4 linked regions of the Canis lupus familiaris genome follow. The protein of the gene in region 3 interacts with the protein of the main gene of each other region in a pairwise test. Links are inferred from orthologs where the notes say so. Each region holds a gene or a part of one and is shown on either strand. Other genes may lie near its edges. The genes, in order: SOX30, C15H1orf94, CFAP206 and TFIP11.

Evidence for each region.
Region 1: the proteins of CFAP206 (region 3) and SOX30 interact in binary tests that used the Homo sapiens proteins (3 or more experiments, as listed by UniProt). The two-hybrid records come from large-scale screens. The link is inferred for Canis lupus familiaris from reciprocal best matches to the Homo sapiens genes CFAP206 and SOX30.
Region 2: the proteins of CFAP206 (region 3) and C15H1orf94 interact in binary tests that used the Homo sapiens proteins (3 or more experiments, as listed by UniProt). The two-hybrid records come from large-scale screens. The link is inferred for Canis lupus familiaris from reciprocal best matches to the Homo sapiens genes CFAP206 and C1orf94.
Region 4: the proteins of CFAP206 (region 3) and TFIP11 interact in binary tests that used the Homo sapiens proteins (3 or more experiments, as listed by UniProt). The two-hybrid records come from large-scale screens. The link is inferred for Canis lupus familiaris from reciprocal best matches to the Homo sapiens genes CFAP206 and TFIP11.

Annotation. Positions count from the first base shown.
Region 1 is NC_049225.1:53,482,170-53,487,354, reverse strand, and holds part of SOX30 (transcription factor SOX-30), read right to left. Parts: intron 2,971-5,185; coding exon 2,478-2,970; intron 1-2,477. UniProt on the Homo sapiens protein: Acts both as a transcriptional activator and a repressor. Binds to the DNA sequence 5'-ACAAT-3' and shows a preference for guanine residues surrounding this core motif. Binds to its own promoter and activates its own transcription.
Region 2 is NC_049236.1:7,727,709-7,732,358, forward strand, and holds part of C15H1orf94 (uncharacterized protein C1orf94 homolog), read right to left. Parts: intron 3,271-4,650; coding exon 3,074-3,270; intron 1-3,073.
Region 3 is NC_049233.1:47,170,392-47,175,576, reverse strand, and holds part of CFAP206 (cilia- and flagella-associated protein 206), read right to left. Parts: intron 3,487-5,185; coding exon 3,343-3,486; intron 1-3,342. UniProt on the Homo sapiens protein: Essential for sperm motility and is involved in the regulation of the beating frequency of motile cilia on the epithelial cells of the respiratory tract. Required for the establishment of radial spokes in sperm flagella.
Region 4 is NC_049247.1:20,594,432-20,600,248, forward strand, and holds the start of TFIP11 (tuftelin-interacting protein 11), read right to left. Parts: upstream 3,846-5,817; 5' UTR 3,793-3,845; intron 2,109-3,792; 5' UTR 2,100-2,108; coding exon 1,891-2,099; intron 126-1,890; coding exon 1-125. UniProt on the Homo sapiens protein: Involved in pre-mRNA splicing, specifically in spliceosome disassembly during late-stage splicing events. Intron turnover seems to proceed through reactions in two lariat-intron associated complexes termed Intron Large (IL) and Intron Small (IS).

The sequences.
Region 1 (5,185 bases), on a different chromosome or scaffold from region 3:
CTTGCTGCACTCAAGATTCTTTTTTTTTATCTTTGGTATGTAACAGTTTGATTATAATGTATCTCTGTGGATCTCTTTGAATTTATCTTTATTCATTGAACTTCTTGGTTTCATATCTTCCTTCAAATTTGGATCATTTTTGGCCACTATTTCTTTAAATATTCTTTCTGCCTTTTCCTTTCTCTCCTCTTATCCTGGAAATCCCATGGTGATTATATTCATATACCGGATGGTGGGACACCACCACCTAAGGTTCTATTCACTTTTCTTCACTGTTTTTTCCTTCTGCCTCTCAGAGTAGATGATTTCAATTGACCTATCTTCAGATTCACTAATTCCTCTGCCTGCTCAAATCTGCTGCTGAATCTCCATAGTGATTTTTTATTTCAGTTACTATAGTTTTAAGTAACAGGATTTCTATTTGGTTACCTTTTATAATCTCTATATCTTTATTGATGTTCTTCTCTATTTGGTGATACTCTGTTCTGGTTTAATTTAGTCTCTGTCAGTTTTCTTTAGCTCCCTTTAGCTCAAGACAGTTGTTTTAAAGTCTTTGTCTAGTAAATCCAATATCTGAGCTTCCTCAGGGGTAGTTTCTTTAGTTTTTTTCTTGGAAATACCATGCCTTGTTTCTTTGCATGCCTAGTAGTTTTTTTGTTGAAAACTGGACATTTTGAATATTATCATGTAGTATTTATAACAATCAGATTTCTGTCCTTCCCCAGGGTATGATGTTGTTGCTTCTTTTGAGTTGTACTTGTGTTTTTCATTGGTGACTTTTCTAAGCTATTTTTGTAAAGACTTCATTCTTTGCCTTTTGTGATTATTTAAGTCTCTGTTCCATTAACCTAGTGACTTGGCAGAGCTTTCCTTAAATATTTTGTTTTGTAGAGCCAAACAAAACAAGTCAGAGCAAAAAACACCTTCCCTTCAGTCTTTGCAGACTGGTCCAAATTGGGGCACTCCTTCAGCACTTAGCCAGGCCATTTACAATTTTTTCTCAGACCTCTTTTCCTACTTACACAGACTCTAAAATCAGTCAGAGGTGAAAGCTTACCATCTTATCAGGTGTTTGTTTAATATGTGTCTAGCCCTGGACATGTATGTGCCATTCTGGATATCCCAGTGTACATGGGAACTTTTCAAAGCCCTTATTTCCCCATGTACCTTCTTTCCCAGTCTCTTCTTGGCCTTTCAGTCGGCCTGATACTTGCCCCATCTGTTGTCCCTTACCCCAGAAAGCCGTGAGTAGTATATGTCTTTGAAAATTTTCCACAAACACCACTTGAAAGACCACTCAAACCTGAGAATGTTTTGAGGTGAGTGAAACAAAGGTAAGCCCTTGAACCAATTCTTCAGGAAGCAACCAAATAGGTAAAAATTTACAATCATAATGCTTTGAGAAAAAAAGGTGTGCATTGCCTCCTCTAACAGCAAAAAAGTCAGACCAGAACATGGGCCACCATCCCCTTGACCATCACTAAGCTACAAAATGGGGGATGGTTGTGGCAAACTGGAATAAGGACTTGAAAGAAGTGATCCTACTATGAATTGAAGTAACATAATATCTACCTGAAAAGTTCTTTGAGCTATTGGTATGCCTAAGTGGGAAATAATTTTACTGTACTAAATATGTAACAGTAGAAGATTGGTAATAGACATATAACACTCCAATTTCGATAGAAACTGTCTCTTTTTATACATTTAACATCAATTGAAAAAGAGAAGTTATACTCTATTAGAATGTTTGCAAGGAAGCTAAATTCTATCACTCCAAAATAAAAAGTTACAAATTTGTTTTCCCTAGGTGCTTCCTTATAAAAATTAATTATTTTACCGATAATTTATATGATAATTTTTTTTTGGTTAAAAAGACCACTGTGTAACTTTGAACAAGTCATTTAACCTCTCAGACCAAGCACTCTACTGTATCCTTTCTATTCAAAGTGTGGTCTACAAACCAACAGAACTGGCATCACTTGGGAGCCTGTTAGAAAAGTAGAATATCAGGCCTACTATACTCTGGTATAGGACACTACTCTACCCCAGACCTACTGATTCAGAATCTGCATTTTAACAGGATCACATGTGATTGATATACATATAAAAGCCTGAGAAGCACGACTCTATACAGTAAGATAAAGAGGGGTGACTAATCTTAAGGACTCTTAATACTGACTTTTCTGAAAAATTGATCTGATAACATTGGAGACTGTATTACTTATGGCAACAATCAGCTACAGCTGAGTCGCAGCTACCCTATTAGATAGGGCATGAACTCTCATTGGCTGTCCTAGTCTTCACCTAGCCTTCTTCATGTATTTATGTTAACTGCTTGGCCTCTATTCAGCCTCTAATCTAAACCAGATTCCAATCAGAATTGAGGAAGTACCTTTTAAGTAAAAAAGGGGTGCCTTCGAGGTAAACATTCATTAGCTGTTTGTATCTTTAGGTGAAAGAAAAAAATGTTCATTTACCTTGATGGGAAATAGTGCGGTCCAGGTAGGAAGTAAGGGTGATGAAAAGAGAATCGCGGCGGTGTCCCAAACAACGTGGCTGGATGGCCAAGGGGAGGAGCCTGGTATACGTGTGAGTGTGGAATAGGAGGAGCCTGGGGGATTGGTGCACTTCTGGGACAAGTGGAAACGCTGGGATACTCCTTAGGAGGTTGGATGGTTGAGGTTGCAAATCTGGCATGGGCAGTACTTGCACTAGTTGGAATCCTGTTGGTGTTCTCCAGAGAGACAGGCGTGGGTCTCTTCACAGAGCAACTGGCTCCAGAATGCAGCCGATGAGTGTCTGTTTGGGAGGGCCCAGCAAAGTGCTGGGGTGGGAGTGCTGGGCGGAGGGGCAGATTTGGAGCCTGGACTGCCACCTGGGCAGTACTGGAGACGCTGGGCTGGAAAAGTGAGATGGGGCTTGGGCGCTGGACTGCAGGTGTGGGCAGCTGGATGGCAGGTGGGGCATCACCTTTAGAAATAAAAATAGCATAGGTCTGGCATTAATTGATTTGATCCATGTTTTTCTTTTTTCAGAATTTAATAAACTGTACAACCAGAAGCCTTCACTAACCACCTTACTTAATAACTTTACTACATCAAACCACTCTATTTCCTTTATAGTATTTGAACAAATCAGTCACTTTGTTCACCTATTTTACATTTTTTCCTCTCTCTTTACCATCTAGTTCTAAGTGACAAGAGAGGAAAGACCTGTTCTGTTTTACTCCCTGCTGTATCCCTAGGGCTCAAAATTCTGTATGGCACAGAACAGGCCCTCAACAAATATTTTTGAATGGATAAACAAATGAATAAAATTGAGTGATTGAGGGCACCCCAGATGGCTCAGCGGTTTAGTGCTGCCTTCAGCCCAGGGCGTGGTCCTGGAGACCCGGGATCGAGTCCCGCATCGGGCTCCCTGCATGGAGCCTGCTTCTCCCCCTGCCTGTGTCTCTGCCTCTCTCTGTGTGTCTCTCTCATGAATAAATAAATAAAATTAAAAAAAATAAATTGAGTGAGTAAAAGATAAATACATACAAATGCTAATGTGTATATATGAATGTTTCTTTAAAAAATTGTATGAAACTACTGACAGTGAAGGAACACTCATCTGAGAGAAGGGACAGGGCAATGGGGCAAAAAGAAAAGCTACACTTTCATTATGTATCTATCGGTACTGTTTGAATTTTCTACTGTCTAAATATATTAACTTTACTTTAAATATTGATGTTTCAGGGTGGTATATGGGTCATTTTTCTACTATTTCATATACTTCTCTATTTTAAACTAAATTATAAATGACATTTAATTTTTTGATTGAAAAAATAATCAGTAAAATTATTTTTGCTTTATTGCAGTCACTGTCAGTGTGATTACAGAACAGGATTTGCCACAGGTTAACAATTTGTGACAGATATGAAAGGAGTATTATTGCAGCAAGGCATAACCAATATGGCAGAATTTTTAAAAGTAGGTGAAACAATCACGTTCTTGAACAAGAGATGACTACTAATTGAGTTACTGAGTTATCCAAATAACACAGTTAGCCTAAAGTTAACTAAACTTTTCCAAAGAAATAGAGAGAGAAGCCATAGCAATACAGTCATGATCTGGTTTATTCCAATGCAGCTAGATCTCTGTTAATATAGAAGATGCAGTTCAATAACAGATTCTATGATTAGAAATGTCTCTTGAGAGGCTGAGGAATGTGCATTTTCTCTTAGCCTCGCCCAGCAAAGGCCTTTCCTTCCTTCTTTCTCTCCAGATAAGGAATGTAATATTCCTCTTAAACCTGCAGGTAGGGAATTAAGGGATATATCTCTCTGTTTCAGAGATGGTCCCTGATCCAGTGAAGTACAGACAATACAGGGATAGGGTTTAAATGAAGCTACCCTGATTCTTAGTTTATAGAGTTATGTGCCCTCCCATCTGTGAAGTACAGCCTTAGGACTTTCCTGATCAATGAAACATAAAGTAATTTCCCTCTTCCATGTTCCCTTAGAACACATAAATCTATAACTTATCACGAAATCGTATAAATCTTTGTTATTTGCTTGTCTGCCATCCCTACCACAATCACAAAACTGAAAACTTAAGAGCAGGAACACTTTCATTCATGTCTGCGTCCCAGTATTTGGTGTAGAATTTGGCTAATAATAGTTAAGAAAGCTATGACTAGATGGGAAAAAAAACCATAACAAATAATCTATAACTGATATAGCACTTCTACCACTGATCTGGTGTGAGGAGAACTCCCTTCTCTAAACAACTAGGAAGCCAGGCTGACTTATAATTGAATTATCACTGCACTCAAGACATCTTCTCCTAAAATCTACCTCTCACACAGGTTTCTTAGTCCTCAAGAAAGAAGTATGATCTTCCTAGGCAAAGGAAAGAAGCTACACAGACCAAATGATATTATTTCAGTTACTGAAGAAGGAAGAGATTCATCTTGTAGCTGACATGAAATGTTCTTTTTAACCAAAGATATTTCTATAAAAAAGCAGTACGAGGGATGAGATGATAAATCATGCATTCCTTTAATTCAATATTCACCAAGTAACTAACATATGTCAGGCACTGTTTTGGTCTGAGATTAAAAATAAAATATATACATAGAGAGTTATATAGAAGTATAATGAAGATATCCTAAATGTTGAATTCTGGTTGCTAAGCAGGCAGTTAAA
Region 2 (4,650 bases), on a different chromosome or scaffold from region 3:
AACTGATGGAGACTCAGGTCGGGCCAGGACGCCCCGGATTCTGTGCTGGTTTATGAAACAAAAACTGGAACCCGCACCTCAGCCTAATAACCATCGGTAATGAATCACTGGGGACACGCCTGACCGCTGATGCCACGTCCCCGCGCAGCCAGGCCACCCGGCGGGGGGGTGGGGGATGCTCTGGGGGGCTCACCTGCCCGGGGCCTGGTCTGCACACGACACTCGCCAGAGTGTCAGAGGGAGCCGGGGGTCCTGGGGGCGAGGGGCATCAGGGAAGGCTTCCTGGAGGAAGAGCACCAGCGCCCTGGCCTGGGGCATGGTTGCCGGCAGCAGCCTCCCCGCTGGCACTGCCTGTGCCACTAGGACCTGTGCTCCTTTCACCCTCGAGCTTGTTATGTGTGGGAGGTAAGGGCATGGTAATGGATGGGGCAGGGAGGGGGGAAGGTGAGTGGGAAGGGAGGGGGTGAGGGGGCGGGGGAGAGGCAAGGGAGGGAAGAGGACAGGAGGAGCGGGGGGGGGGGGGGGGGGGGGGGGGGAGCAGAGGAGGAGGGGGAGGGGTGGGAGAGGAGGAGCTGGAGGGAGTGGGGGAGGAGGGAATAGGGGGGCAAAGGGGGTATGGAAGCGGGGGTAGGGGGTGTTGGACCATGACAAAGAGCCAAGAGCTCACAGAGAGAGGCCAGGAGGGGTAGGGGGGCCGCCTCATCCCCGGAGCCCTGCTCCTCCCACCGGCCTCTCCCCTGCCCCTGCCCGTCCCCCAGCCACGCCATCCCCGACGCCCTCATCCCCCGTCCCCCCAATGGCCTCGAGTGGTTCCCCCAGCCCTGCTCCCCCCACATCCTCCAGGAAATGCCTCCTCCTCTGCCCCCCATGCCCCGCCCCCCTACAGCAGCCCAGCGGGGTAGGCCTGCACCCCTGCCTGAGCCCCGCTCCTGGTGCAGACTCGGTGCAGGCCACCTCACCCCCACCCGGGGAAGTTTCACCAGCTCCCCAGGGCCTGACCCGACGCCTGGCCGTGCCCCCCAGGCCCTGCTGCCCCTGCTCCCGCGGCCACTCCCCCTCCTCCCCCCCCCAGGGCTCCGGCTGCAGGCCCACCTCCCACCTCGGGGCCACTACCCCGACGCACAGCTCCCCTATGTACCTGTCGCTTCATTCAGACCCAGCTCCGGAGGTGGCCCTCCCTCATTCTCCGTCCTCCCCCGGCCCCTGCCTTCCTTTCCTGCTGCCTTATTGCTCCCCGTGAAGGAGACCAAGAAGGCCTTTTGCCTCGCTCCTTCCTTCCCTCCAGGAAGCGCTGCCCACGACCAGTCATGCTCTTGGGGGAGCATGCGGCCTGCGCCGCGCCCCTTCCCTGGCGTCCCCAGCCCCTTCGGCCACCGCCCACCCTGCCGACTATGCCTCCCCCATGGCACCATCCTCCAGCGCCCAGCATCTCTGCCCGCAGCCAGGGCCCGGGTGGGGGCCCTCCTCCCCTCCTTCCCCGCGGTGGTGCTTTTTTTTTTTTTTTTTTAAATTTTTATTTATTAAATTTTTATTTATTTATGATAGTCACACAGAGAGAGAGGATGGGGGAGAGAGAGAGAGAGAGGCAGAGACATAGGCAGAGGGAGAAGCAGGCTCCATGCACCGGGAGCCCGACGTGAGATTCGATCCCAGGTTTCCAGGATCGCGCCCTGGGCCAAAGGCAGGCGCTAAACCGCTGCGCCACCCAGGGTGCACCAGGCTGCAGGCCCCGGGCCTCCCAGTCAGAGCGTTTAACACCCAAACCCAACCTCCCTTTCTAATCCTATTTTCCACCTTTTTAGGGGTAAATCAAATACTTCAAGCACACACCTCTGCTGCCCCAGCCTCATGCTTGTGTCCATCCGTGTGAGGGCTGCACCCCCCTGTGAGGGCTGCACCCCCCTCCCCTCCTCCCACGGCTGCTCCCTGGGGCCTCGCAGGTCCACCCCCCCCCCCAAACAGCGGGTCATGCCACCGCCCCGGGCCCCGGGGTGCTCCCCACATCTCAGCCACTCAGTCTCTGAAGGGAGGAACCTCGTCCTAGTCCGCTGTGGGTTCCCTGCAGGCTACATCCCCATCAACCACAGGACCCGACACAGAGCTTGGGGGGCAGGGGGTGCAGATGACATGCACCCTCGTCTGCGGTAGGAGAAGCAGAAAAGATGGGGAGGGAGGAAGGAGGGAGGAAAAAGAGAAAAGGAGAAAGAAAATGGGCTGTGGATTTGGGGCTCAGGTGAGGCCACCGACCCCACCCCAGGAACATTTCCCAGACACTTCAGCAATGAAGCCATCTGAGGGCCCCGATGGGTAAGAAACCCATTCACCTGTGTTTCCCTCAGCTCTTCCCAAGCATCCTGACCACAGAAACCTCTCGCTAACGTATCGTCCTTTTACAAGACGCAGGACTGAGAGGGTGAGGGTCTGGGGGTGCCTGGGGGGCACCACAGCGGGGGTCTGTGCGGGGACGTGGAAGGCTGGGGACCAACGGCCCTAATCCCGGCAGCGGAGTTTCCCAAGATTAGACACGCCTCCCCAGGGTGTGTGGGGACTGGGGTCCCCAGGGGGACCCCAGGTCCCGCCCTCCTCCCGGCCTCAAATATGAGCTGAAGGTTTGCAGGTGCGAGTGGGCGACCGCCGGCCTTTCATTTAGGACAACAGCCGTCGTGGAAAGTGTGTGTCGAGGTTTGCATCACCCGCGAAGCCCTGCCCCCGCTGCTGGGCCTGCTACACCCTCCGCAGGATGTGGGGGCGACTGGCCTGCGAGGGAGCTCAGGGTCCCCCGCGACGCAGGGAGCCCAGCAAACGGGCCTCGGGGCCTCAGCAGATGGGTCCTGCTCCACTGCCGGCCCCGCTGCAGGCCGAGTGCCCACGTCCACGGCCGCGTGGCTAGGATCCCCTGGGCCCGTGGCCCTGAGCAGCCTGGCCTGCGCACCAGCTCCCTCCGGCACCCATGGCTGGGGACAGGCCAGGGCCCCTCCCTCCCCAGGACCCTGCAACGCGAGAACCAGCTCCCCTCCCGGCCCTGTAGCTTCCCGCGAGCGAGGTGCACCCGAGGAGGGGGCTGAGGACTCACCCGTACGCCTGGGGGACCACGTACTGTGGCCCGTCTCCCGCCATCGGGGAAGGGTCGCGGGGATGGCTGCACAGCTTTGGAGGTGTCCTCTGAGGGTGCGGGTAGCCGGGCTGGACGAAGGGGATGTAGCTCAGCAGGGGGGCGTAGGAAGAGCGGAACACCTGCTGTCCCACCTGCTGTGGGCTGTACGGCGTCACCTGCAGGTCACAGACGAGAGGGGCCGCGTCCACCAGAGCCCGCTGCTTCCGAACCTCCGGGGCCTCGCTCGGACCCCCCAGCCTTAACCCCGGAGCGGCGGGCGTGCGGGAGGCCCTGCGAGGACTGTGGCGAAGCCCGAGCCTCCCCCCTGCGCCTGGCTGCCAAGGTGCCCAGGTCACCCGGGCCTCAGTTTCCCCGTTGGCAGGAGGGCGAACGCTCCCTCCGCGGCACGGACACCGAGTTGGCCGACAGCAGCCTGATGAACAGCAAATGGACTTTATTTCCGTTCTCTGCGCTGCCCTCCCCACCCCATCCCCTGCCAATAGCTGCCCCTGAGAGCCCTCATTCATTTTTACCTAAAAAAAAAAAAAAAAAAAAAAAGGTCTGTTGAGATTTCTACAGCCCCGGCTTCGACCCAGCCCCCCGGTACTTGGGCCACCACCCACCAGCGGAGACTTGCGGCCACTTGAGCTGCGGCTGCCGCAAAGGGCGAGGAGCTGAAGGTGCACGCTCACGGTAACCGGTGTGGGTTGAGGTGGCCGCCTGGGGCCAGCGGCAGCGTCGTACAGCGGGATCCAGGCTCCATAGAGCTCAGCCCCCGCCCCCCGCCCCCCGGATCCGACCTCCACCAAGAGCCGGGGCCCCGGCGGTCTCATCGAGCGTCGTCTTCTCGGCCCTGGGACGGGGCTGGGCCAAATAAGCTGCTCCATAAACATGCGTTAAATGAAGGAGCACGAGAAAAAAGGAGGGGAGAGGGCAAAGAAGAGGCCACTCAGGGTCCGCTTGAATCCCTGCAATGATGGGGAGCTCGTTACTTTGCAGGCACTGTATTCTACAAACGTCAGAAGACCCTCTCCTGTACGGGGTGACATCCGTCCTCCCGCACGCTGAAGGGAGCTGCAGTCAAAGCGAGGGAAACTTCTGGACGTCGTCTTTAAAAGCAAGAGTCCGGTGTCCAAGCCGCCCGGGGACCCAGCACAGTGACAGCCCTCTCTCACCCTGCGGATCCTTCTCTAATTTAAAAAAAAAAAAAAAAAAAAAAAAGATCGCAAAGGCTGGGGCTTCTGGAGGGCTCAGGCCGTGCCAGGCCCGTGCGGCTTCTCTCCTTCCAGCCCCGGAGCTTGGGCGGCGGGAGCACGAGCCAGAGACGGAGGAGGCGGCTCAGGAGCTCGGACCTTGCAGGTAAGCGCTCCACGGGCTCCATGGGCTCCACGGGCGTGACTTGCAGTCGGACCCCTAAGGCCCACGCGGGCCCGGGGCCCGTGCGATTGCTCCCGCTGAGCCCCCTCCTACCCCAGGCTGCAGGTAGGACTCGCGGATGCTGGACGTGGGCCCCCAAACGCCCAAGATGACGCGCGGACCATGACAAAGAGCCAAGA
Region 3 (5,185 bases):
AAGGAAAGAACATACAGATTCAAACTTCACAGTGAGTTCACAATTATTTGTTAACACAATCTTCTAACTCCTTCATTATTATACTTTGAGATTCATACAACTTGGATTTTCCCACCATACTTGGTTTATTGTTTTAAAAGACAAAAATTTAAGATTTTCTTTGTCTTTTTTAAATGGACTTCACCCAAGACTTTTAATATAAAAAGTTCCGATGTCTTCAGGTTACATTTTACAGTATTCAACATCCTGCTTGCTCTTTTTATGGATTACTAGTAAACATGAAGTTAAACAGAGGACTCAGGCTGGGAAACAAAAAGAAGTTTATGAAAGGGAGACTAGAAAAAAAAAATGAAAGGGAGACTAGGATGTACTGAAGTAATAAGGAAGTCCTAGAAAAAAAGCTCAGAAGCATTAGAGCCTGTGAGTTCAAAAGCAGAGACCTCACATTCCAGATTTTGAGATATTGTGGGTGACTAAGAACTGAAACAATTTCCCCCACACTGAGTTTATTGTCAAGTGACTATGACTTGGCTATTCCATTGTCTTCATTAGCGTGATTTTACCACTCCAGGAGACCCTTGCCAAAGGGTCACTACAGAACATCCTGAAAGACATACCTTCAGTAGTAAGCATCAATGCACAGATTAAGCCCTCACATTCTTTCCACCCCTGCCCCATAAATCTTCACCTTCTATTCCCATTACTGCTGGGCTGGGTTTTTCATGATCTTTACCCAATCCAGTACAAGCCTTCATCCCATCCCCTGACCTACTCTTGGCATTGAAAGACCTGCCTTCCACCACATGTGGATTCTCAATAAATTCTGACCTTGCTGTTTCCCCTCAGGACACTATCAAGGCTCTGCTAGGGTGGTGGTTCCCCCTACAGCTTTAAGCACTACACTCAGTTTTGTCTTATCAGTAGGTTATATTGCTAATATATGGGGAACTGGCATTCAACATAACATAATTCTAGAGCATAATTAGGTCTACAGTGGGAATCAGAATGAAGTGGAGGCTGAGGAATGGGAAGAGAGGGTTCAGTCAGTACACAGTGCAGCCCCACCAAATACCCCGTTCTCTTAACATTTCCAGCCCAGACCTATGCTGGCACCTCTACCTCTCCTATCCTATCCAACCATCACTCCCCTCTTCTCTTTTGCCTTTTTATACCTCAGACCAATTTAAAATGTCACTGAAGTTAATTCTTATTTCACTTCTGTTACATAACTTACCAAGAGGTACTGAAATATTTTTAGTGTATCAATGTCACTTGCGAGACAATTAGCTTCTGAAGAACAAAGCAGTGATATCTATGTTACCTAGTATATATCCAGTGGGCTCAAGTGAGTTTAGTAGATGACAGTAAAGAACATCAGGATGAAGCTTCATGAACTACGGAAGAGTAACTGATAGGAATATTAGCATTCCTATCAGTTACTCTTCCGTAGTTCATAGGAACAAGGATCTGGAAGGTATACCAAGAAACTGATCCTTCCTCATCTCAGGAAATCAAGGGACTGAAAAGCTGCCACCAGAAAGGACAGCAAGAAAAATGTCAAGGATGGTGAAAAGCCTATAAGACACAGAATATACAAATGGACAAAGGCTAGACCTTATATGACAATAGAACTCTGACCCACAACCTCTGTAGCCATAGCTATCAGCACAGAAGAGGCAGGATTTGACTAGCTTCCCTATTTTTTGCTGCCTCCACCATTCAATTAAGGAACAACCAGAGAAAGCCAACTATGCCCACCAAACCAATCATATAAAAGTTCCCACTTAGAGTTAGCCCACGTCCAGTTTTCCCATGTCAACAACATCCAATCAGAGAATGCCTGAAGCTTTCCCCTTTTTTTTCACTATAAAGCTTCCCCACTTCCCCTGCCCACTTTGGAGCTCCCGCCAACTGCAAGTAATGGTGGCTGACTCCCTTGCTATAGCAAACTTTGAATAAATCGCCTCTGTTCTCATTTGGGTAGTCTTTGTTTATTTCCATACCCCATTTTAAAGAGAGAGATAAAATATACTAAGAAAAGGCTACAGATATAAAAGGGTTTATTTCCTTCAGACTCTAAATACTTGTTTAAAATGACGAGGTACTATAGAAAGAATGAGTGGGAGGAATTCCCGAATCAGACAGGGATGAGAGTTTCAAAACCATCATTTGAGGGCATGCACCTCTTATGATTAGTGACTGAGAATCAGAAGGATGAGAGAGATCAATGCCTGTAGAGAACATGTTAACAACAGGAGGGGACAGTAGCTGTGATATAACAGAGATAACCTTCTGCTCCTCAAAAAAAAAAAAAAAAAAAAAAAAAAAAAAAAAATCCAAAAGAGGACATTGAGAGTGCTTTAAATGCTAGAACCTCATAGATTTGCACAATAGATGGGTATAGAAAGAGAGAGTGGGGGATCCCTGGGTGGCTCAACAGTTTAGTGCTGTCTTCAGCCCAGGGCCTGATCCTGGGGCCCTGGGATCAAGTCCCACACGGGGCTCCCTGCATGGAGCCTGCTTTTCCCTCTGCCTGTGTCTCTGCCTCTCTGCCTCTCTGTCTCTGTCTCTCTCTCTCTCTCTCTGTGTGCCTCCCATGAAAAAATAAATAAAATCTTAAAAACAAAACAAAACAAAACAAAAAAAGAGTGAGCAGCTACCATTGTTCTAGTTACTGGACTGTATAATTGGAGAATAGTTTCATGTTTCTGTATATGCTTAAAATTAGAAGACAATAAAAAAAATTAGAAGACAATCTTGCGACGTAAAGCTGGCAAATTATTTGTGAAGAACTCCATGTACAACTTATTGGCTTTAATAAATAGTTTAAATCACTAACTCTATGAGTAACAATACATTAAAGTTCCCCAACCTATAGCTCTCAGCCTTAGTGTCATCTTCTCGGAAACTCCCGAACCAAGTGAGCCAAGTGGAGGAAGAAGCAAATATGCAGACTGAAGTGAGAAAGATGAGGCAGAGGCCCAAGCAAACAGGTAACTTGTACACCCATGGAAGCCACAGGAGCAGACACAAGGAAAGCCAGAGGCCAGGGACACTGGTACAAATTGTTGGACTGCATGCTGACTTTCTAGAACTTGATTCAATGGATCTTGAATATTCATTGCCATCTGATCACAACAATATCTTGGAGAAACCCACCTTGCTCATACCAAAACAGTCCCCTTTGGTCCTATGCCCTGGACCTGTGGCTTGAGGACTAACACTGTTTTCATTTGTGGCTGAATGTAACATATATACAATAAGTCATCTCTTCTGCTGTCTTAGCTAAAGAAAAAACAATCCTCCAACCTATAAATAATTTTAGAAAATATTGTTACAAACCAATTTTATAGCTTTTCTTCTTAATTCCCATTCATTCCACTCATACGATCTCACAATGGTTGGTGGCAATATGTGTGTATCCGTCTGAGTGCTACTTTCACACTTTGTAATTGGTTTTATATAATGTTTGTCAACATCCTTCATCTAAAGAAATAAAGTTTTGTAATTAGTACTTATTAAAAAAATAAACATTATTTAGGGAGAACAAAAAATATTTATCTAAACAAAAAGATTAGAAAAACAAGAATTTTTGAACATGGAATATACTCATAAAGACAGCAGAGAAAACAAGCTGATAGTAGTGAGCTAAATGTGATAACTTTCCTGGGCATTATGACTCTCTTTGCACCTAACTTTGAGGTATATTTTGGAAGAGGAAAACCTAACATCACTCATTCCTAAGTCAAATGCCCTTCTCACAATTGGTGGCATAAGTGAATACTTGGTTGAAAACTGACAGAAGTTTAAAATAGCCATTAAATATTAAATATGAGGGGGCAGCCCAGGTGGCTCAGCGGTTTAGCGCCACCTTCAGCCCAGGGCATGATCCTGGGGACCCGGGATGGAGCCTGCTTCTCCCTCTGCCTATGTCTCTGCCTCTCTCTGTGTCTCTCATGAAAAAATAAATTTAAAAATAAAAAAATTAAATATGAATCACATTTGTTTAAAGTATCAAAACATCTTTAGGATATATACATATTTTAATGATAGTTGATGATGGGACTTTTATTTTTTGTTGTTTATTTTTTAATTTAAATTCAATTTGCGGGATCCCTGGGTGGCGCAGCGGTTTGGCGCCTGCCTTTGGCCCAGGGCACGATCCTGGAGACCGGGATCGAATCCCACGTCAGGCTCCCGGTGCATGGAGCCTGCTTCTCCCTCTGCCTGTGTCTCTGCGCCTCTCTCTCTCTCTCTGTGACTATCATAAATAAATAAAAATTTTAAAAAAAAAAAAAAAAAAAAAAAAAAAAAAAAAATAAATTCAATTTGCCAACATATAGTGTAATACCCAGTGCTCATCCCATCAAGTGCTCTCCTCAGTGCCCATCACCCAGTTACCCCATCCCCCCACCTACCTCCCCTTCCGCAACCCTTTGTTTCTCAGAGTTAGCAGTCTCTCATGGTTTGTCTCCCTAATTTTTCTCACTCAGTTCCCCTCCTTTCCCTTATAATCCCTTTCACTATTTCTTATATTCCACGTATAAGTGAAACCATATGATGATTGTCCTTCTCCGATTGACTTATTTCACTCAGCATAATACCCTTCAGCTGATGATGGGATTTTTTAAAGTTCATTTATTTATAATCTCTGTACCCAATGTGGAGTTTGAATTTATGACCCTGAGAAGAGAGTTGCATTCAGTAGCAACTAAGCCAGCCAGGAGCCTCTAGGATAAGGATATACCTTAAACTCAAACTATGCATACACAGCATATTATCCAAGGTGGCTTTGTTTTAGTTAGATATTTTGATTTTCTGCTAGAGAACCCACAGCGTCACTATTAAAACATTAAATATTAACTCCAAGCTAAACAAGATACGATTATGCTGTATATGAAATTGTTGGAGAGGATGGTAGAGTTTAAGGAACTCAGATCATAATGAAGAGAGAAAAGATCAGCTTCTCTTTTTTTAATTCCAGTATAACAGTGTTATATTAGTTGCAAGTGTACAACATAGTGACTCAACAATTCTAAACATTACTCAATGATCATCATGATCAGTATACTCTTATTCCCCCTTACCTATTTCACCCATCCCCCCACCTCTCCTCTGACAACCACCAGTTAGTTCTCTATATTTGTCTGTCTCATCTTCTCTATGTCCATTTGTTTTAGTCTCT
Region 4 (5,817 bases), on a different chromosome or scaffold from region 3:
TAGGAAAGTCATCCTGTTTAACAGGCTTCTCTTCATCTTCCGAATCTTCCAGCTCAGCCTCCTCTGCTGCCCCTTTCTTGAGACCGGCGCTGATGAAGTTGACTGGTGCAGAGTAGTCGCGGGCCCTGTGGGCAAACACACAGCCCCCAGGGGGCCTTAAGGAAGCCTTCTGCAGCGATCCCTTGTGGACACTCTGCCGGCTTGAGATCCCCCGAGAGGGGAACTCCAGGGATCCATTTTACAAGAGTAACCTATTCACTTAGACCAAAAGCGCCTCAGATCTGACTTCCTGTGATCACGGTAACATTGTTACCTGTCAGTGCAAGGTTGATTAAAACAGCAATATATGATCTTACACACTGTATTGATTTTGTCTCAACAAAAGTGAAAGGACACCATGCAAACTATGATGTGATAACGCAACTCTTTTACATGTTTTAAAATTAACTTTAAAATCATTTGTTTTGGACCCCGTGTTTCAAGTACAGAAATCAAGCAAGAAAGAACTTCGGATAGATAAACATCATCAAACACAATAAAAGAAACTGTATGAATGCAAAGTATATTAACAATTTTATTGGTCAAACTCTTAGAAAAGTTTCACCTTCATTACCTTTATTTGCGTATGAAAACTAAAGTAAAATACCTAAGAAATTAACTCTGAGATAGAGAGTATCAATGTTGACAACTGTCACAAGAACAGTCCTTACAATGTCCTATTTCCTGGTTACCTTTATAAAATGACCAACTTGTCACTAACCATCCCCATGGCAGTAGCATTTTTTCCTAAACAATGCAATGTAACTTAGGCCGTAGAGACCCAGACTCAGGAGTCAGGCCCAGTTTCTTACAGCCTGGTTATGTGCTTTTGGCCTCAGTTTTTTAATCTGAAAAAAGGAATGATAATGATGCTACTTTTCTCACAAGGTGAAGGATACCAAGCACGTAGAGTGCAGAACAAGGTACTATCTTATGGTTATAGAGAATGTTAATTCCTGACCTCTGATCTATTTATCACCCACTTTTAGGTTTCCTTGCCAGATGAGGACTTGATCTGACCTCCATACTTTCTCCCCAGCCTCCTTTGTGAAAAACGCACAGTGTCAATGGGCTAGAGCCTACAAACCACAGACGAAACACAGAGACAAAGCCAAACTCGCTACACGCTCTGGTCAAGTGAGCTGTGGCCACTGCACACATGACCTCTCACACTGGGGAGGACGACTACTGGCCTGAATCCTCCTCTCCTGCCTCATGGAGTTTCCTCTTCCCCTGCAGCTCCCTGTCAACTCTGCACACTGACAGGTCTTCTCCAAAGGTAAGTGCAGCCCACATCATCCGCTCTACCACAGACCTCTTCTCAAACTATGCCCCCTCTCCCTCCCTCACCGCAGCCTGCAAAGCTTTCTGTACCCCTGTGGACACCCACCGCCTCCCCTCAGGAGCCTCTGCATACCCGTGCCTCTCCTACCACCCTCATTACCTTCTGCTGTAATAGAAACTCAAAAGTCACTTCTCTAGAGAAATCTTCCCTCACCTCCCAGAATAGGCCAAACTCTCTCTCTCTCAGGTCCTAAATCAGTTATAAACTTCCATCGTATGAGCTGTCAATTAATGTGTCTCCATGCTCTAGCGTCTGGGCTCCCAGAAGGAAAGGAATGGGGCTGCAGTATACGACATGGTACATATAACTGCTCGTTAAACATGAAGTGATGGTTAAATCAGCAAAAGAGCAGCACTCCGGCCAAAGAGGAAGCTGGGCCTCCCTAGCTTATATCGTAGCTACAGGACTTGGTAAGGCCAGGAGAAAGGTATATTTAGTGGGCTATCTTCCCACCACCCCCCATCTTCCCTAAAGCGAGGAGGAAGCAGTCTCATGCTGGCCAGTACCGTTTGCCTCCAAAGCTGGGCCTCTCTTCATCTGAATCTCTCTCTGCCCACACTCCATAGGTGGCCTCTTCCTTGGTCTGCCAGTGGCGCTGCCGGTTGGGGTTAAATTCATTCTGGAGATCCCAGTCGGTGATCTCAAAGTTCTCCCGCTCATCGTCATCATCATCCATGTGGCCTTCCCCATCCCGGTACAAGTGGGACAGTGACATGACAGGTCACTAAAGAAAGGAATAAAAAAGGCACGTGGTTTGTGGTAAGTCCTGAGGGGAGAGCAGCAGTAGGCTTCCGTCCCTGCTCCTCACTCCCTTCAAACTTCCTCACACTCAAAGTCCCAATGATTAAAAATCATTGTTAACAGTTCAATAAGGCAGACATTAAAAACATATTTCAGAAAACAAACACTATTTAAACAGGTGGGACAAAAGACTGGTCCCAACAATATGCGATTCCCTGTCCTGGTCAAGGTCATAAAACTTTACACACACTCACACCTAAATAACCCACAAAAAAATAACTCGGTATGTTATTCTACTTATTACTGCCTCAGAAACGGGGTGGGCATCTTCCTGGAACCCCCCCCCCTTTTTTTTTAATACCATGATGACACTTTGTTTTCTTTCATACTGAACTGGCATGATATAGTTTAGAATAGAGAGCTGGTCTGCAGTATCTTCCAGAACCGCAGAGATCCTCAGCACATCTAGAATGGAGAGTGGCTCTACGATGTCTGGGAGGACTTCTTTTTCCGGTTCTTCAGCTGTTTCTTTTTCTTCTTCTACAGCACTGGGTGGCTCGCCTGTCACGGACACTGTCACCTCAGAATGCCAGATGTTTGCTGGAAGATTTGAGGCTTCTAACTGGCCTTCTCCCATTCTTCTTAAATTAGTTGTAACTTCAATGGTACTTTTACAATCTCACAAAAAAATGTAGTTACTCTGGAGTCAAAACGAAGGATCAACAACAACTAAATATGAGGAAAGAGTTACTATATCTGGACCCTTGGCGGTTCACCACCGGGAGTGATGGTTTTTAGAACACGCTTCCTGAAGTATATTACTTGGTGAGACCCTAAGACTTAAAAGTTTTCCTCCCAAAACATGAACTTCTTCTGAAGGCATAAACCCTACCTTAACAGAGATTTCAGCTCCTGGTAGCTGAGTGATGAGATTCAGCTGACTCTACCCCCACCCTCTGGGAATGCCTGTGAGCCAGATTAAACGAGGTGGTGCCTAAAAGACGCTTAGCTCAGGGGTGCTTGGGTGGGCCAGCTGGATAAGCATCTGCCTTAAGCTCAGGTCAAGACCTCGGGGTCCTTGCTCGGCGGGGACTCTGCTTCTTCCGCTCCAGCTCGGCCCCTCCCCACCCCGCTTCACGTTCTCTCTCAAATAAGTATTTCTTAAAAAATTTAAAATACTAAGCTCAGAGTAAAAACGCTCCGGGAGCAAGGGCTGTTACGGTAGCCCCAGATCAGGTTCCTCACCGCCACTATCAGTAGGTTGGGGAGGGGACCTCGGGGAGGACTGCTGAAACCCCAGCTCCGGCGGGTCGGCGGCGGCGTCGCGGCGTCACCACAGCCGCGGGCGGCAAGCAGCCTTCGCGGGGGCCGGCGCGTCCGGGCGCTAGTCCCCAGGCTCCCCGGCTCACTGCACCCCCGCCACGCTGGCGGGGCGCACAGAAGGGAAGCGCCCCCGAGCACTCGGGGCTCCGCAGCGCCTCGGCCTCCCCGGGCCCCCGAAGAGCCCGCGCGGGGCGGACGAGCCAGGGGCAGCACCGGGCCTCGGTTCCGCGCCGACGGCGCTCGAAAGCAGGCTTGGAGCAGGCTGCGCGGAGGGGCTGCGTCCCCCGCACTCACGCCCGCCGGCGGGGACGCCCCACCGCTGCCCGCACCCCCGCCCCGCTCACCTCCGCAGGTCCCGGGTCCAAGCGCAGCTACCGGCCGGAGGCCAGGAGCCCGGATGTGCCCGCGGCGGCGCGCCGGAAATGACGTACAAGGGGGCGGGGGCGGGCGCGGGGCGCTCTTCGTCACGGCCGCGACGGGCGAGCGCGTCCCGGGCTCCAACGGGGCGGGGCCGAGTGCGAGGGAGGAGGCGGGGCTTCCAGGGCCTCGGATGGCGGCGGGCGCGCTGCCGGACCTCCCCGACCTCCCCGACCTCCTCCCCGACCTCCCCGACCTCCGTGCCGCGCCCGGCCCGCGGGGACCCCGCCGCCAGTCTGAGACTCGACTGCGTAAAAGGGGCTAGAGGACTGGCGCACGGGGCAGCGGTGAGGGCCAGCGGGCGGCCGCGGGGCGCGGGGCGGGGGGCGCGGGGCGCGGGGCCAGGCTGCCGGCGGGAGCAAGGTCTCGGGTGCCGTCGGGGCCCCTGGCCGAGCACCGCGGTGGGCGCGGAGCTTGAGAGCGCAGGGACGGGCGGACCAGGGCCCCACGCGCTCCCTCCGGGAACCGCCCCCCAGCCCGTGGTCGAGACCTTCATTCCTTCACCGATTGATAGGACCGTGCGGAGCCCCGCGGGCCGAGGCTCAAGGGCTTCGGGCCGCCCGGGGAGTGGCGGCTGCCTCTGCACCCCGCAAGCACCCGGGCCCGGGGCCCCCCTAGTCCCTGCGCCTCTGGAAGCCTCGCTTTCCTCTTCTGCAAAATGGTTGAGGATCCGGGGAGATGAAATGTGCAAGCACAGGGCTGCCTAGGCGTGTCAGCCCCTAGTCTTCGCTCACGTTCTTTCTCTCTCCTTCCTATGATGAAAAGGTGCAAGCGGCAGTTGTTAAGAATACACGGAGCGCACCCGGCTCTTAGTCAAAGATCTGGATCCAACTTCCCGCCGTTGTGAATGAAACCAGAACCCACAGGAAGGCAAGCGACTGCCAGCTTCTCGAAACACGCGCTGTGACTCCCGTGGTCTCTGCGTCCCCACTGACGTGTGTCACCGAGGCCGACACACAGTGTGTAGTCAGGAAAGATGTTAGAAAGTGAGGTTTCATAGAAGAGAGGGCAGGAGGGGAAGAGAGTCTAACAGAGGAGAAGCTCCACCAGGGAGCAGAGGGAGGAAAAACAAGGAGACCAGATAGACCGTGTTGAGTCTGGGCCTGGAAATGTATAGGCATCTGGTGATAGGCCAGAGCCAAAGATAGAAGCTCGCTTGGCTTCTCTGTAGCTCTCTCTCCAGCTCTACAGCTGACTTCATGGAGCAGCAGTTACTCAGATCACGAGGGGCTGATGCTAGTGGATCTGCTTCACCAGATGGACCCTCCACGTGGCTTCTGGAGAAGGGGCCTCTGGGGACGGTGGGGTCACTAGGGGTCACTAGGAGTACAGGCTCTGAGCGCAGGATCAGGCTGTGCATCCCCAACAACGGGGCAAGTGGACCTCATGTACTGTGCGATAGGATGTCCTGAGAAGGTCGTAGCACCACCCCCGTGATATTCCTGTCAAAGATGCATACCTGGGACAGAATCACTAGGATACTGGAGACAAGCCCAAATAAAGACATGTTCTGCCAAACAGCTGGCCTGTGATCTTCAAGAGTGCCCAAGGCATGTAAGTCAAAGACAGACCCTGGAAGTGCTCCAGACTGAAGAAGGCGAAGGAGACATGACCGGTAAACGCAACACCTGATTCTGAATTGGACCTTTTTGCTGTAAACGAAGTTATGGGGATAACTGGCAAAATTTAAATGCGGTCTGAAGTTCCATGGTAGTGATGTGTCCGTGTTCATTTTCTGATTCTGATGGCCGTCCTGTGGTTACGCTGGAAAATGTCTTTGCTGGAAATATTAAAGTATTTAGGGGAGTGATAGGGCATCAAGTAGGCAACTTAGTCTCAAGTTATTAAGGGGGGAAAAAAGGTTCTCTTTGTACCTAGATATTTTTGTTTTAAGATTTATTTATTTATTTGAATGAGTGAGCATGAATGCAGGGGGAAGGGGAGAGGGCAAA